2 linked regions of the Macaca fascicularis genome follow. The protein of the gene in region 1 binds, or shares a complex with, the protein of each later gene. Links are inferred from orthologs where the notes say so. Each region holds a gene or a part of one and is shown on either strand. Other genes may lie near its edges.

Region 1 (8,927 bases):
TTTAGAGGAAAGGCAGAGAAGCAGACTAAGAATGTATTTGAGGGCATCATGGGGAAGGAATAAATTGTGCCAGGCTACATTGCTTGGGAGGTGGATGGGGGAGCCCTGGGCTGACTTCTGAGATGTCCATGGGGTGAGTGGGGAGGTGGGAGTCTTTGCCCAGGGAGGCTCAGGAGTCCATCTTTTCTGTGGGCACCTAGAAAGGAGGTACTGCACATGCTGGTGGCTTACCCAGGCAATTAATTATGTTTCCAGCACCACAGTGTTGCAGAGCATGAAGCTGGGGGTGGACGTAAACCGCCACAAAGAGGTCATTGTTAAGGCCATTTCTGCTGTCCTGCTGCTGCTGCTCAAGCACTTTAAGTTGAACCATGTCTACCAGGTACCCGCAGGGCTTTCCCTCCTGTCCTGTGGTCTGGGGCCTCGGGCACTACTGCTCCTCCAGCCCACAAGAACGGGGGCCTTGGCCTTTGACCCGCTTGAACTCTGCATGAATGTTCTAAGACATGGCCCTCCAGCCAAGGCCTTTCATCCCTGGAGGAAAGAAGGCAAGGTCCCAAGGGCCACGCCTTTTTTTTTTCTTCCCCTGTTGGCTTCAGTTTGAATACATGGCCCAGCACCTGGTGTTTGCCAACTGCATTCCTTTGATCCTAAAGTTCTTCAATCAAAACATCATGTCCTACATCACCGCCAAGAACAGGTGACGAGGGCCAGGGACCGTGAAGGGGCGGGTATGGTCAGACAGCAGAGTTCCCAGCTGGTATTTCCCACTGCCTCCATTTTTCCAGCATCTACGAGCCAGCGCTCTGCAAGGCATCAGGACACAAAGATAAATGAGACATGGCCCCTGCCTGTGGAGAGCCCAGTGTGTCAAATCTGAGTCGAGCTAGTCGTGCCCCAGGTGCCTCGGCCTGTACCTGGGCAGGAGGGTTTTCATCCCGGGATCTAGTACTTTCTTCCCTGTCCCTTTTGTACTTTTTTTTTTGAGGAGACCTTGGGCTGCTTGCTCTCTCTAAGGGGCTCGGCCATGTGCCCTGTAACGCCCTGTCTGCTGACTCTTAGCCCCTGCTGTTGGCCTGGTGCCAGCTATAGTTGACATTACTTGCTCGTCAGTGTGATATACCACAGGGCGCTGGCCAGACCCTGTCTCCAGAAAGGCTTGGCATCAATTAGTTGCCCTGAGCAGTCTCCTCCCCAGCCCCGCACTGATGGCTATGGGGGAAGCTGTGAGGGTCTCTGCCCCTTACAAGATCAACCAGCTGGCCTCTGGCTACAGGAGTGCCTTACAAGTTCCCTTGTAGCAGATATTTCCTCGTCTTATAGCTGGGGAAACGGGTGGGACAGACCAGGTAGATTCCTACTTCTGCTCCAACAAGTGAGGGAGGAAGGCTGGGAACTGGCTCAGGCACGGCTGCTCCACTAGGCCCTGGGCCTTTGCTCATGGTGGGCACCTGGATCCTCTCCCCTCTGCAGCATTTCTGTCCTGGATTACCCTCACTGCGTGGTGCATGAGCTGCCAGAGCTGACTGCAGAGAGTCTGGTGAGTGGCTGGGCTCTCCTCGGCTGTCCCTTTGGCACCCGGGTTAGTGAGTAGAGAGCCTGCCTACCCCAACACCACAGGAATAGAGGTGTCTCCCACAGGCGAAGTCACTGTGGAGTGCCCGGCTTTTAGAGCACTGTAAGTGTACAAAAGGGCCAGGAGGAGGGCTCTTGCAGAGCAGAGAGATTTGGATTTAGGGATTTGTCAGGGAGTGTGATCTTCAGGGGCTGCTGATCCAGAGCTCACCTCGTAGAGGGCTTCTCTCCCTCAACACTGGACTCAGCAGTAGGAGCCCTAGGGCAGCCCAAGGCTGCAGCTCCCAGTATCACGGTTCATGTTTCCTTCAGGAAAAGTCTGGGGAGCCTCCCTCTTCCCCTAGTCCCTGCCAGCTTCTGGGACGGAGTCCTGGGGCTGCTCTGAGAGCAGGGGGTTCCTGGTAGAGGCCTGAAGACCCGGCTCTTCTAAGATCATGTGTGAGGGACTTTTGGAAACTGCTGCACACACTGTAGCCGTGAGGGCTGATTGTTCCTGGGTTTACCCTGCAGGAAGCAGGTGACAGTAACCAGTTTTGCTGGAGGAACCTCTTTTCTTGTATCAATCTGCTTCGGATCTTGAACAAGCTGACAAAGTGGAAGCATTCAAGGACAATGGTAAGTGAGTCAGTGCATTCAGCAGGCTTGGAACTTGGAGCTCAAAGAAGAGTGCTGGGAGCAGGGAGTCCCTAGGGTGGGGCTCACTGTGCCTTCTCACTTAACTTTGCTGTAGCCATATCCTTGCATTTTATGGGCCAGTTCCCAGTTCCTTGATGAGTTTGATGAGTTGAACTGGAAGCTGGAAGAGGCCCAGTCATGTACTAAAACAAATCTACACTTACAGAAGAGCTTTTTCCATGTCATCTTAATCTTGATTGGTTACATAACCAGGGTTCTGAGAATCTTCCTTAACTCTGGGTCTGTGGATGCCTTTGGGGTGGGGAGGTCCTTGAATCCTCTGGTAACTTATGTGTACGTGTACACAGGAATGTTTCTGGAAAGAATCCATAGCTTTCTTCAGATTCCAAAGTGACCCTTAGTTAGGGTGACCAACCATCCTGGTTTGCCTGGAACTCTACTGGTTTTAGCATTTGAAGTCCAATGTATTAGGAAACGCTTCAGTCCAAGGGAAACTGGGAAGGTTTGTCACCTTAACTTCCAAAGGGTTAAGCAGCAGCGTGACCAGGGCTGTATGCATTTATTTCTGTCTTCAGCTTGGGCTGCTTGCTTGTTTGCCTTCCCAGATGCTGGTGGTGTTCAAGTCAGCCCCCATCTTGAAGCGGGCCCTAAAGGTGAAACAAGCCATGATGCAGCTCTACGTGCTGAAGCTGCTCAAGGTACAGACCAAATACTTGGGGCGGCAGTGGCGAAAGAGCAACATGAAGACCATGTCTGCCATCTACCAGAAGGTGCGGCATCGGCTCAATGACGACTGGGCATACGGCAACGGTGAGGCTCTGCACTCAGTCACATTTGGGTGGGAGTGTGTCGGGCAAGGTGACATCTTCCACTCCCTGCCCGTGGTGCTCAGGTGCTTCTCTGCCCTGAGCTTCCCACCAAGGAACAGAAAGGAGCCCAGCTTCTGCTTTTGTAGCATCAGGATGGGCACTCTAGGAAGGACTTTGAGAAGCTACCCAGGCTTGGCATCTGCGATCATCCCCATCTCTCCCTGTACCTCCAAGTCATTCCTTTTCTAGAAATTGTCATAACACTATGTCCCCTCTTTTCATCCCCATTTTGGCCACCCAAACTTTTACAGCTCTTGACTGGCTTCCCTGCCTCTAGTTCCTTCCCCTCCATCAGTGTCTTAGATTTCCCTAGTGATCCTTTTTTACTTTAATTTTTTTCAAAGATGGGGCCTGTTTCAAAGATGGGGCTGTGTTGGCCCAGGCTGGAGTGTGGTCTCGGCTCACCATAACATCTGCCTCCTTAGTCTCCCGAGTAGCTGGACCACAGGCACATTCCACTGTGCCCACCTAATTGTATCTTTTTTGTAGAGACAGGGTTTCACCATGTTTCCTAGGGTGTTTTTTTGTTTCTTTTTTTTTTTTGAGACAGAGATTCTGTCACCCAGGCTGGTTTGCACTGGCACGGTCTCAGCTCACTGCAACCTCCGCCCCCCGAGTTTAAGCAATTCTCCCCCCTCAGCCTCCCAACTAGCTGGGACTACAGCTGGACTCCACCATGTCCAGCTAATTTTTGTATTTTTTGTAGAGATGGGGTTTCACCATGTTAGCCAGGCTGGTCTCGAGTTCCTGGCCTCAAGTGATCCACCCGCCTCAGCCTCCCAAAGTGCTGGGATCACAGGCGTGAGCCACTGTGCCTATCCTTCTCAGGTGGTTCTTGAACTCCTGGGTTCAAGGGATCCACCTGCCTTGGCCTCCCAAAGTGTTGGGATTACAGGCATGAGCCACTGCGCCCGGCACCCTAGTGAATCTTTTCAACATGCAGCTTCTGTGCTGTTACCTCCCTGAGTAAAATCCTTCATTAGCTTCCTGTTTCCCTTAGAATTAGATTCAGACTCAAGCATGAGGCTCCCTCGTCCTTTTTCATTATCCTCCTCTGTAATCTGACCCAGCTTCCTTTTCAACCTCGTTACCTGCTGTCAGTCCAGCCTCCATCATACCCAGAGCTCCAGGCACAAGGAGTGCTTAGTGCCCTAACATAGCTGTGTGGTTCCCACTGCTAGGCCTCTGCAGACGCTCTTCCTCCACCCGCAGGGTCTCCCCTGCCCGCCTGGGCTGCTCTGTGTGGGTGTGTTGCCACATTGTTGCGTTTCTGGAGTATACCACCATGGCTAAATGACTGTGTCTGTACTCTCAGTGCCTTGTGAATGTGTGCAGGCCCACGGTGGCACACGGTACCTGGTCAGGGAGTTGAGAGAGAATGAGCAAATGAGAGGATTTCCAGGTTCCTCCCTCTGACCCCAGAGAGCTAGGGAGGTTGCCACTTTGAGAGAAATGTGTTGTACACATGGCTCTCCCTCTCTGGGTCTACATAATCTCTACAGTATAAGCCTCTTTGTCGGTACTTCTGTCTTTTCTGCTTGTACTTGACTCTCCTTTGGATCTAGGAAGGAATTCCTAGAGCTCGGAGGTATCCTGCTCCTAGTTGACACTCAATATTCCTGGCCAGGCCCCTGAGCTGCAGTGAGTCCATGGGGAGCTGCTACAGGGCGTGGCTCCTAACTGTGTTCTTCCTGCTTTGTCTCAGATCTTGATGCCCGGCCTTGGGACTTCCAGGCAGAGGAGTGTGCCCTCCGTGCCAACATTGAACGCTTCAACGCCCGGCGCTATGACCGGGCCCACAGCAACCCCGACTTCCTGCCAGTGGACAACTGCCTGCAGAGTGTCCTGGGCCAACGGGTGGACCTCCCTGAGGACTTTCAGATGAACTATGACCTCTGGTTAGAAAGGGAGGTCTTCTCCAAGCCCATTTCCTGGGAAGAGCTGCTGCAGTAAGGCTGTTGGTTAGGGGACTGAAACAGAGAAAGGAGGATCTCAAGGTACCTGCAGGACTGTCCTAGTTCATGGCTGCAGTGCTCCCATTCCCCACCAGGTGGCAGCACAGCCCCACTGTGTCTTCTGCAGTCTGTCCTGGGCTTGGATGAGCCCAGCTTTACCTCCTATTGGTTCCCAGGGTCCAGCTCAGAAGCAGTCATCTCTGCCTGGGATCCATTCTTCCTTTATTTCTCCCACCCTCCTCTCTTGGACATGGTTGGTTTTGGCTCATTTCACAATCAGCCCAAGGCTGGGAAAGCTGGAATGGGATGGGAACCCCTCCACAGCACATCTAAATTTCAGGGGTCATGCTGATGCCTCCTGAGACACACAAATCCTTGCTTTGTCAGCTTGCAAAGGAGGAGAGTTTAGGATTAGGGCCAGGGCCAAAAAAAAATACAACGGTGTCTTGGTTGTGCTCTGGGGTGGGGGTGGGGGGTTTCTGTTGTTATTCCAGCCTCCTGCTATGTTACATGCAGAAGTAATTGCAGAGGCTCCTGCAGCTGCCTCCACACTTTGATTTTGGACAGGGACAAGGTAGGAAGAGAAGCTTCCCTTAACCAGAGGGGCCATTTTTCCTTTTGGCTTTGGAGGGCCTGTAAATACCTATATATAATTCTGTGTGTATTCTCCTGTGTCATGTTGGGGTTTTTAATGTGTTTGTGTATTCTGTTTACATTAAAAATAAGCAAAAATCATTCCCGTTGGCTTGTCTACGGGAAATATGGCCTCTACATGTCTCCTCCAGGTCTAGAAAGTGTTTTTTTCTGCTAGCATTGCTGGTCACTGCTTGTCTTGCCAAGCTGCCTGCCTTTCCCATCCTGGGGGAAGAGAAGAGGGAGTTGGCATTTATCCAGTGTAAATTAACCCCACAGTAATCTGGGATTACTCTCACCCAACTCCAGGGCACTATCAAGGTTACTTTACTGAGACATTGTCCTGCACCCCTGGGTTTGCTGTAATTTCAGTAGGAGCCCCAGGTTTCTCTGGATCACATCACTGAGCTGGCCTCAGCCAAACCAGTGTCAGTGCTAGAGAGGGAGGGGCTAGGTCAAAGCAAGGGGGTCAGCTGCTCTAGGTCCTCCCTGGGGCAGGTGGTTGGGACTGAGCGGAAACTTCAGTACTCAGAGCGTAGGAAGCAGACTATCAGGAGTCAGGTTCATGGTGGGAAACAATGTTGCCAGGAGCCAGGAGCCCCCTGTGGCTGAGAAAAAAGCAAGGAAAATCTTTGCAGTGGGTGTCAGTGGACACCTGGCGCCTACACTCTGGCCTCCAGACCCCTGGTTGCGTCTGCCTGAGAAGATATTACCGTTTTGATGCTGGTAAAAGGAGTGTTCCCTTTTTAGAATTCCTGGAAGCTCTTATTTTACCTGTACGCAGTTGTTTTATAGGTTCTTAAGTCTTGAAGGGTCTTGACTTGTAAAGGAAACATGTTTTGGGGAGAATCTCCCCTTCCTTGGGTCTTGTGTTCAGTGCCTGCCTGACCTGGGACCTGCTGAGCCTCAGACAGGCCTTTTGATGTGCCAGCATGGTTAGGGACAGCAGGGGTGGAAGGCAGCAGTGTACTCCTGGTGGTCACACAGTCTGTGAGATGGGAAGTCCCATCTGTGACTGATGGGCCCTTTGCCCCAAAGTAACTTGTACAGGACAAGGGAATTGACACAGTTTATGTGTGGATGATGGATTTTCTGCTATTTCTTGCCAGGACTGGTAGGAAATATGTATCTTGAGATTTCAATTAGGGAGAGATGGATTTTTCACACTGGTACTGTCCCATGAAGCCTGAGTCACTGAACCTGCATGGTCAAGGCCTGTCTCTCCTCTGACCTGCAAAACAGAATGCAGGACTATCAAAACTGCAAGGGCCGTGAAGCCTGGGCAGGTGAATCCCTTCAGCTGTAGGCCCAGGAGCCAGCCCAGAGAGAGGAAGGGGCTTCTCACAGTCACAGAGCATGTTAGTGGCAGGTTGGCCATTTGAACTCAGGACTTTGTACAGAAATGTCTTTTGGAGCCACCCAGTTTTTGTGGCTTTTTAAATCTCATCTGGGTCATGAAGTGGGCAGAGTACATGAAGACCCTTTGTAAATGATTGAATTACATAAAATATTGTTTATTGCTAAGCAGACTCAGGGTCCACTCTTCAATCCACTGAGAGACAGACTACCCTGAGGCAGTATCACTGTAAGGATAGGAACTGTCCGTTATTAATCATAAGAGTTACCACTTATGGGTTGCCAAGTAGGTACCAGGCACAATATTAGATGCTTCTCAAAGCCTTATTTTCTACAAAGCCAGTAAATACTGAGTACTTACTGTGTGCCAGCCAGCATTCTAACCACTTGATGTATAATATCTTATATATTCCTTGTAATATCTTGAAAGATACATGCCATTTTAATCCCTATTTTGCACAGGAGAAAACTGTGGCACAGAAAGGATAAAGAACTTGCCCAAAGTCATATAAAGGCAAGAGCCAGGATTCAAATCCAGGCCTCTGTCAGCACATGCATTTTTTTCACTTCCTCACACCCTTTGCTATTAGTCATTGTCATACCCCAGCACTTACCACCAGTACTTACCACCAGTGCATTCATTTGCTCATTTATTCACCACAGCCAATACTTCTATTTGCTCTAGCATCATCCCTGGCATGAAAGATTCATGGTAAATGTCCATTGCTTTAGGTCCTAACTGGACCACCCAAGCTTAGCCTTGGGCTAGCCTCTGGTGTTCCCTGGATGTGCCCTCCTCAGGGTAACTTGGCTGTTGCTGCTGTCTTTTTTCTTTTCAGCCTGAGCCTAAATTTCTTTCTCTTCTGGGTCCCAGAGGACTCTTGTGTTGGCTGCCCTATCCAGACCTGTTAGGCTCATTTCCCAGAAAGCTGGCTTCTTGTCTGTCCTGGATGAGCTGACTTCTCAGAGGAGAATAGCTGTTACATTCATTCGGCACTTAGCACAGTCAGCCTCAGGAGCACCCTTTGGAAGTGAGACAGCCCTGACTTTCAGTTCGGGCTCTGACATTTATTCACTGAGGGACCTTGAGCTAGTCAAGTTCCAAGTCTCAGTTGGCTCATCTGTAAAAATTGGTTTAATAATAGCCCTATTGCGTGGACTGAGTAAGATCATGGAAATGAACCTACAGGTCTGGCTGACAAGGGATGACAATAAATGGTAGCAGTTCTTAGTCTTGGCAATGGCCCCTCCAACTCTAATGTTCTATGAATTTGCACCCATTTCCTGTGTCCCTAGAAGACAGAAATCCCCTTCAAGGACCAGAACCATGTCTTAGGCCTCCTTAAAGCCCCTGGACCTAGCTTGCTGCTCTGAATCCAGAGGTGTCTCAGAAGAGTCAGCTTCTCGTCCAGCAACCTGCCATCACACCTTGAAGGCCTGTTGGGGCCAGGCCCTGTGGTTGATGCCCTGGATATCCAGGTGACTAGGATACCACACTCTCTCACTTCTCTCGAGCTCACAGTTGATGGAGACACAGTCATAAGAGCAAGTAAAAGCAATAGCATGATAGGTAACAGACGTCTGAAGGGCTTACCTCAGGTCCCACTGGTCCCAGCCTCTTACTATTGGAGGAGAGATTGCTGGGGGAGCTGGCAGTCGCTGAGTGGGAAGGAAGGGGGCTCCAGCATCAGTATCGAGGGCTCTGACAGCTAACGCTTGATGCTTACCCCTTCCAGGTGAAAATGGCTGGGATGAGCCTGAGGAGGAGACTGGGGCAGGGGCAAGGTATGTCTTTCCTCTGCTGGATAAAGGAAATGTTAGGGTCTTCCCAGTTCCTGGCCATGCTAGACTCTTCCTGTCTGGAGCTGCAGAGGGTCTGCACTTTGGGATTGTAATTCAGGTT
Region 2 (8,827 bases), on another chromosome or scaffold:
TCTTCCCGGGCCCTCAGGGCTCCTCCTCCCAGCCAGGCCTGTGGGCAATTCCTGATCCGCAGGAAGAAGCAGGGAGGCCATGGGCTCAGCATCCAGTGACAGGAAGGGCTGGTGTGCAGTGCGGTAGACAGGCTGGCTGCCTGGGTTCTCGCAGCGCATCGGCTCATCCGACCACGCCTTCACCCATCTTCAACAATGCTATTTTTTTCCATCAATGCATCACCAGTTTCCACTTTTCACCATGGTTACACTGCAAACCAAGTGCCATCCATTCACTGACATACCATCATAATAATCTTACAAGGAAAAAGGGAGATGACAGTTCTTCAGTCCAAGACCTTTCTCTAGTGTTGAAACCGGAGGCTTCTTTGCAGTGAGCAGAGTTATGTCCCTTGGCACCATCTCCAAAGGATGGGGACTCCTTCAAACAAACCAAACTTCCTCAAATCACCTTAAAACATTAGTAATGAAGGTTCTTACAACATATGGACAATCAGGACTTCGTAATATCATGCTTAGGTTAAGAACTGGGATTGACATAAGATGCCCTTTGTATGCAAACACATTCAGCAACACCTGAGCAGCCCAGACAACAGGGCACAGGTAGTGCCAGAGGTGACAATGCTCAAAAAGGCTCCAAACAGGATCTAAACATATACAAGAAACAGAGGTTTGTATTCCCTTTAGTTCAGTGAGATGAAGAAGCTAGTGAGGCAGGTGAAGTTCATCACTTCTCCCAACCCACCCTTCCTTTGACAATCAGCTTGTGAACCTAGGTGTGACCTGGGCACGTGCCTTCATAACTACCATACCGAACCCTGTCCCCAATGGCTGGAAGGTCTTTCCTTACATGCAGTGCAGTCTAGGAGGGGAAATGTCTACGAGTCATGTAAGAGAGAATGGAGGGAAAGCTGGGAAGCAGCTGAGTGAGCTGTGAGACCAGAGCAGCCACCAGTGTACCCCAAAGAGCACTGGCTGCCCAGCAGGCAAGTCAACCACTAGAGGGACACACATGGGGTGGCCTGGAAGAGCACCCTTATCAGGCCCTGCTTGCAACAAGAGCTGCCAGTCCAGAGCCATACCCAGTGGGAAACGAAGGAAATCTCAGCCCTAAGGCCCCAGCGTGAAACCCCGCTTCTGATAACTTTTGAGACTTGGACACAGATGTGACCCTCATCGGCCCTCACCACACGCCTCCCGGGTCAACAAACCTGGAAAGTCAATTCCACATCAACCTAAGAGTCTGCTCATGATTTCCAGTTCAGAGTTGTTGGGGAGGATCCAAGCAAGTGAAATAACTTCTGACACAAGTCACAGTAAAGGTAAAAACAGACCAAAAATGTGACACATTTTCTCATACTATCCCCTTCCCAACCAAGTGTGCACTCGCCAGAAGTGGGAGACCATACTCTAATCCACCCCCAACACTATAACACCTACTGGTCAGATCAGAGCCTCCTGATGGTTTTTTTTTTTTTTTTTTTGAGACGGAGTCTCGCTCTGTCACCCAGGCTGGAGTGCTGTGGCCGGATCTCAGCTCACTGCAAGCTCCGCCTCCCAGGTTTACGCCATTCTCCTGTCTCAGCCTCCCGAGTAGCTGCGACTACAGACGCCTGCCACCTCGCTCGGTCAGTTTTTTGTATTTTTTAGTAGAGACGGGGTTTCACCGTGTTAGCCAGGATGGTCTCGATCTCCTGACCTCATGATCCGCCCATCTCGGCCTCCCAAAGTGCTGGGATTACAGGCTTGAGCCACCGCATCCGGCCGGGTCTTTTTCTTTTTCTTGAGACAGGCTCTTGCTCTGTCGTTCAGGCTGGACTGCAGTGGCACAATCTCGGCTCACTGCAACCTCTGCCTCCTGGGTTCAAGCGATTGTCCTGTCTCAGCCTCCCAAGTAGCTGAGACTACAGGCATACGCCACCACGCCTGGCTAATTTTAGTATTTTTAGTAGAAACGGGGTTTCACCATGTTAGCCAGGCTGGTCTCAAACTCCCATCCTCAGCTTCCCAAAGTGCTGGGATTACAGGCACTTGTGAGCCACCACACCTGGCCAGAGCCTCCTGATGTTGAAAGAGCTCGGGGAAGAAGGCAGCCAAGCTGTGATGTCCTCACACTGCCTCCAGCAAACGCCCAGGGAGGCCCTGCCCTTCGAGGAAGGTGGTGGGGACGGCTCAGGCAGACAGGACAGCTCTTGAATAAAGGTTCTCATGTGAGCAGTGATGGTGGAACCAAAAACGGAAGATCTCCACATGGCCCCGTCTCCTTTCTTCATGGCACTGTGCACGATCTGAAACTGCTTACTGGTTGTCTCTTCTACTTCAGGAGAGGAGGGAGCGTGCTGTCTTGTTCACAGTTGTATTCACAGTGCAGTTGCTCAGTACGAATTCGTGATGAATGGCACCAGCTTGATTTTCTTCCTTTGAAGGCACTTAATTTTTTGTTTGTAATACACCTTTTTTCCTCTGGAAAAGATTCTGACACATGTAATAATCTCTATTCATTCATTTTGCTTGATACCAGGCAACCTCTCTTTGACTTATGGGTTCACATCATTCTTAACCTCAGATAAGTTTTAAATCTTTAAACTTTAAACATTCTTCTGTTATATTTATTCTGGAGTTTTCTTTAAAAACACCAATTAGAGCTGTGCACTGATTCTTTCAAAACTCTTTTAAACAACTCTCAGCTTGCATCTCAACTAGAACGCCATCTCACCAGGGCCCCACCCTGAAATGCACGCTGAGTTGCCCACACCACACTGAGGTGCCCACGCCTCCTGCCCCGCCACTCTCTAGGGATATTTCTCACCTAAGGCAGGTAAATCCCTGAAAATGGTGACTACAACACAGCACGCTTGCTCCTAAAGTGCTGTTAATTCTTCCTGTTTACTGTCAGTCTCCTGCATATGAATTTAAGATATATAGGAGAAGAGACTTTTGTTCTTGTCTACTCCAGTATTACTGAAATCCAGAAAAATGTGCCTACACAGAATGGGTTAAATGAAAGAATATGAAATAAATACAATAATGAAAAAGAGAGAGAGAAGGAAGGAAGGGGAGGAAGGAAGAAGGGAGAGGAAGGAAGGAGGGAGAGGGAGGAAGGGAGGAAAGGAGGGAGGGAGGGAGGGAGGAAAGGAGAGAGAAAAAGAGGGATGGAGGAAAGGAGAGGAAAGGAGGGAGGAAAGGAGGGAGAGAGGAAAAGAGGGAGGGAGGGAGGGAGAGAGGAAAAGAGGGAGGGAGGGAGGGAGAGAGGAAAAGAGGGAGGGAGGGACGGAAGGAGGAAAAGAGGGAGGGAGGAAAAGAGGGAGGGAGGGAGGGAGAGAGGAAAAGAGGGAGGGAGGGAGGGAGGGAGGGAGAGAGGGAGGGAGGGAGGGAGGGAGGGAGGGAGGGAGGGAAATCTAAGATCAGAGTCCTCAGTCACAGCTAATTTACTAGAAAGAACGAGAAGAGAATAATCAAGGTGGTGTTATCCAATGAGTTAAGAAACATGGGTTCCAGTCTCAGCCTTACCAAAATCTACACAGATCAACTTTGATAAATGGGCCTCAGCTTAAAATAAAGAGAATGGACTAAACATATAAGTTCCTGGTTGAGTCCTAAAATTACATGACCCCAGGAAAAGGGCCGACAGCCAAGGTAGCTGGAGATGAGAAGCAGCCAAAGCAGCATCCCTCCCATGTGGGGTAGAGACACTCCCAGGCAGGGCACACACCCTAGACCAGCCAGGTCTGCTGCGTGGGGGGTGGGGTGGGGTCGGGGGGAACCCACTAGTCACTCACCAGCCAATGGCTGTCAAGGCCATCATAGTGCTCAGAAAAGTTGTGGCCACCACTACCACACAGCGGTGAGATGGGCTCACTCCTCCCATGGTGGAACCAGGCACACCTGCAACTTGAGCTACAACCTGGACACTTTCTAACAGTCTATAGCTTGCAACGGTGACCCTGGGGCTGCAGGGAAAGTCACCTGGTGCTTCCTGTACCATGTTTAACAAGGTGGGAAGTCTACCGGGTACTGGGAAGATTTCTATTTAAAAGCAGCAGCAAGGTTCGGCCTGTATGTGTGTCTAAGCATATGTTTGCTCAGAAAGTTGGGGTCCAGGAAAGCCAATTCTCCGTGGATCATGTGGCCTCTTAACTGCGTACAGGGTCCAAAGAAGAGCAGACTGTGGGAACTGAAGTTAAACCAGAGCCCCAGGAGGCAAAGTCCCGGGATTTTTTGTCCCATCTAACAGAGTTCACAAAAGTGGAGGGCAACAGAGAAAAAGAGTATGAGAAAAACTAGGAGCGCATAACACAGGACAAGTAAAAGCAGTGGGAAGAAAGGGTTAGGGTCTCATCTCATGTTGACAAGGACAGGCTGGGAACGAGAATCCTGAGAACTAAAAATAATAGGAAGACCCTGCAGCAGTCACTCAAAGCACTGTTCTTCCTCCATTCTCACACTTCCGTGGACTCCCTCCCTTTCTCTTATGGGAGCCCCTTTCTCTACAGGCCCCTTCAAGGCTGCAGATTCCATGCACTTGCACTTCAACCCCCAGCTGTGCCCAGACAGCAGGTGGAGGCCCTCTGCAGCCGCACACGCCTCCACCCCTCACCACCGCGGCCCTTCTCTTCCTCCCACCCCGTTCTGAACCCGCTGCGTCCTGTGTCCCCACCGCCACCAAACGCACATGGTCTGAGCTCAAAACTTCGATCATGGTGGGCTGGATCAGCAAAGGATACTAAATGATACAGCAGCAGACAGGAGAAAACTGTAACTAAGGTTGAAGAATTACCTTTATGACCTACCTCAAGGTACCAGCTTCGGTCCAACTTACAAAAGCTACCAGGCTAAAGAACAAAAGGCGGGAGCCCTCCAGGCCCCGTGAGGCACAGCGCCACCCTCACCTTCCCCTCACCTTCGAGTCGTAGGCCGACTGTTTGATGACCTCGGGTGCCATCCAGAATGGGGTGCCCACGAAAGTGTTCCTTTTGATCTGGGTGTCCGTCAGCTGGCCGGCCACGCCAAAGTCCGCCAGCTTCACCTCCCCGTGCTCAGACAGCAGGACGTTGGCCGCTGCAAAAGCAAGCCAAGGGGGCCCTGAGCGGCGGGGACTTACAACTCCATGCACTGCCACGAGCGCGTCTTCTCCCCGGCTAGGTGTTGAGCCCAGGGAGAACAGGCACTGGGGGCTACACTTTTTGTCAGACCCCCTCAAAGCCAGCCCAGCCCAGGCAAGGCAAACGTGCACGACAAATGGGTGCCAGCACCTTCCCTTGAGAAGGCTTCAGTGCAACCCCACCACCGCCTTCACTATTTCAAAGGAATGAAAACAGACGTCCTCTTACCTTTAATGTCTCTGTGGATTTTCTTCTCGGAATGGAGATAATCAAGTCCTTTCAGTATTTCTCTTAATATAGTAGCGATCTGGGTTTCATCTAACGGGCCAGGTTCTAACTAAGAAGAGAAAAAAATTCTTAAAGTTACTTAAATGATTATCTTATGAACAGTTTGAGATAAAACAGAAACACTATCCATGTTAATGGACAAGGGTAATTAAAACCTGAAATCTTCTTCACTTAAAACACAGGATTTTGCCCTAACAATTACAGTCCACTGACAGACACTTAAAAAAACAAAGAGCCCAAGAAAACGGCTTTGCTGAATGAAGCAAAGCGGAGCCAATGAGGAAGCCCGCGGCCCCGCCTGCGCCTGCAGCTGACCACACGACGCCCCACCGGCCATGGCAGGGGCGGGGCACAGGCTGGGGATTTCACTCCAGGAAACAAACAGCCAGAGACTCACAGAGCAGCCAGGATCTGTCCCAACATATGTGGTTCCCTTATCAGAAGGCTCACCCCTGGGATCCAAAAACACCTAGGAACAAAGGCCTAGGAGCCCGGCGCCTCTGAGGATAACCTTGTACTAGAAATTTTTTAAATCCGCAGTTAAAGCTCCCCAACTTGGGGGAATGCAGCTGAAACAGCTTAAATCCTAATAGTTTGGGATTTGTTATATAATCGATATTATATAATAAAAATAATTATTATATTATCCCTGAGGTAATAATTACCTCTGAAAGCTTTTATTCTCAGAAACTCAAACTAATTGTTCCTACTGACTCCTTTATATCCACAACTGTACAAGACGAAAGGAAGAAATGTCAGGTATCCACATCTCCATTTAAAAGGAAAGGAAAACCAGGGTAACAGGCTCACTTCAAACCAGATGGGAAGCCCCGCCCCCGCCCCCTGCAGAGTGGGGCAGTCAGTCAAAAACAGTAATTCCACGGACGACAGCAGCAAAGCCACCGACGCTCCCCGGAACCACAGAAACGGAGCCGGACAGAGGGCAGATGTCAATACAGGCAGGTTCCTCCGAATCATGGTCCCCCATTCTTGGTTTTCAGGCGTGACAGTGAATGTCTTCAAAGCCCACACCCACACATTTTAGCCAACGGGAAGACACAATCTGGGGCCTTTCACTTAGTTTTAAAAAGATAAGTTACGTGCTTTAAGCCAAAGGGGATGAAAACTAGGGTGCTCCTCTGCGGGAAGCGTCTGACTCAGGCGTGCAGGGACAGACTCAGACTATCAGGGACAGACCCCGATAGTCCCCCTTGCATATCTCAGCTCCTTCACCGGGACATCCTGTTCAACATCCGGAAGGGCTTGTGGGGCGCAGGATGGGGGCAACCAAGACAGCCCTTGTCACCGAAACCACAGCCTGACTCACACCTGGCGCTGCTTTCCGGCTCATGGGTGAGCTGTGCTGCCTTGGCTTGCAGGCCCGCCCCGGTCTACACAGCAATCCCAGGGTCAGGGCCACTCTCAGAGGTGGCCTCTCCCCACACACTGGCCTCGATGCGACTCTGGCCTGCCTGGCAGTAGACCCAGCTGGAATCCAGCCACCCCGGCCTTCTCCACTCAGGACCCAGGCGCAGAGAATGCACTTGTCGCTTTGAATTTGACCTCACGCATATGCTCGGAGAAGGTCAAAATGCCCGTGTCCATCGCCTGCCAGGAACTGTCCCAAATTCCAATTAAGATATTGTCCAAAAGTTACCTCAGACTAAGACATTATGGCACAGACTCTGCTCCCCAGAACATAGTTTTTCCCAGTTAACTGACCAAAAGTCTTTTTTTACAAGAAATGCATATCGAAACTACTCTTCTAAAGAACACCATCTGGAAAACCCTGCCTTGTGGTAAGTCTGTTTTCTCCACATCTATTTTTCGGTGTTCATAGAATATAGAAATTTTGATTTTCAAAATGAGGAACACAGACTCTTCTCATCACCTGGGTGGAACGTGGGGAGGAGGGTAAGACGGAGGAGTGTTTGCTTTTGTTCCCAACCCTGAAGTGCAGGAGAATCCACTCGACCAAAGATCAAAGTCATGTGAGAGGCCAGGTGCGCTGGCTCACGCCTGTAATCCCAGCACTTTGGGAGGCCGAGGAGGGTGGATCACCTGAGGTGGGGAGTTCGAGACCAGCCTAGCCAACATGGTGAAACCCCATCTCTACTAAAAATACAGAAAAATTAGCCGGGCTTGGTGGCACATGCTTGTAATCCCAGCTACTTGGGAGGATCAGGCAGGACAATCGCTTGAACCCAGGAGGCGGAGGTTGCAATGAGCCAAGATCACACCATTGCACTCCAGCCAGGGTGACAGACCAAGATTCCATCTCAAAAAGAACAAAAAAAAAAAAAAAAAAAAACAAACCAAAAGTCACACTAGAGTTGGGTCCCATCTCCCATCTCCTTCTTCACCAAGTCTATGCCCAAGCCAGCGATCAATAACCTGTGGCTAGACCTGGACTTAACCACCCTCCCTTCCATTACCAAGTCTCCTGAAAGCAATGGCAGAGCGGCCGGCTGTCATCCCCAAAGGGCGCTAAGAAGAAGAGGTGAGGAACACTCATGGAAAATCCTCCCCTGGATAATTAAGGGCTGGCTCTGTGATGACTATCTGCATGGTTCTGCCCTTTAAATCTGCCCTGAACACCATCCAACATTGACTCATATGCCCATGGGGAAAGAGGAGGAAGAGGAGAAAAAGAGATAAAACTCTCCTTTATTTGGGGAGAAATCCTTCCTGCATCAAAATCCACTATAAAGGGTATTTAGCTGTTGTCTACCCCAGAGTGCCTCATAAGCAGCTCGGACCAGGCCAAGCTCTCCAAGTCATCGGCTGGCGTTCACCATCGTGACCATGCTCTCCATCATTCAGGCACTTGCAGACTCTTCAAATAGGACCCAGGAAAAAAACCTAGACTACATTCCACCGCTGGGTGACTTCTAACTTCCCCTCCCCGTGTCTGTCCTCCCCTGCTTCGAAGCTCTGTAATAGGGACCATCAGCTGGGCACACAGCCACGACAAGAGACCACATTTCCCAGACTCTAAGCAGCAGCCTGTGGTCACACAACTAAGACCTTGCCAGCGGGACAGACAGGAGCAAACGTGCCCCGTGCCCCTGCTTGGTCTTGGCCCTGAAGCACTGGCAGCGAGAGAGGACAATGGCTGAAGACCAAGGGAAGCCTGGGGCTCCAGATGGTGGAGCCACCCACCAGCACAGACCGTGACAGTGTGGGTCAGAGCCACTGGCCCCACGTGCAGGGGAGAAATGAATTTCTACCTTTTGTGAGACAATGTGTTAGAGCTAGTAGGATGGCAGCTTGGCCTAAACATTAATGAATATGCCATCTCATTTCTTAAAACCCATGTTGTGGACTCATTTTTTAAGTCTGTCAAACACCTCTGCCTAAGTGACTGGTTTATGCAGCACAGTCCCTTTGTAATTAGATTCCAAGGTTGTCCCTCGGATTCTCTGGCAACGCTAGCT

Evidence for each region.
Region 2: STRIP1 (region 1) and STK24 share a complex: the UniProt entries of both Homo sapiens proteins name them as parts of the core of STRIPAK complex. The link is inferred for Macaca fascicularis from reciprocal best matches to the Homo sapiens genes STRIP1 and STK24.

What each region holds. Positions count from the first base shown.
Region 1 is NC_088375.1:124,256,808-124,265,734, reverse strand, and holds the end of STRIP1 (striatin-interacting protein 1), read left to right. Parts: intron 1-255; coding exon 256-382; intron 383-599; coding exon 600-700; intron 701-1,473; coding exon 1,474-1,540; intron 1,541-2,085; coding exon 2,086-2,190; intron 2,191-2,816; coding exon 2,817-3,021; intron 3,022-4,785; coding exon 4,786-5,033; 3' UTR 5,034-5,770; downstream 5,771-8,927. UniProt on the Homo sapiens protein: Plays a role in the regulation of cell morphology and cytoskeletal organization. Required in the cortical actin filament dynamics and cell shape. Part of the striatin-interacting phosphatase and kinase (STRIPAK) complexes.
Region 2 is NC_088391.1:89,364,691-89,373,517, forward strand, and holds part of STK24 (serine/threonine-protein kinase 24), read right to left. Parts: intron 5,440-8,827; coding exon 5,331-5,439; intron 5,059-5,330; coding exon 4,901-5,058; intron 1-4,900. UniProt on the Homo sapiens protein: Serine/threonine-protein kinase that acts on both serine and threonine residues and promotes apoptosis in response to stress stimuli and caspase activation.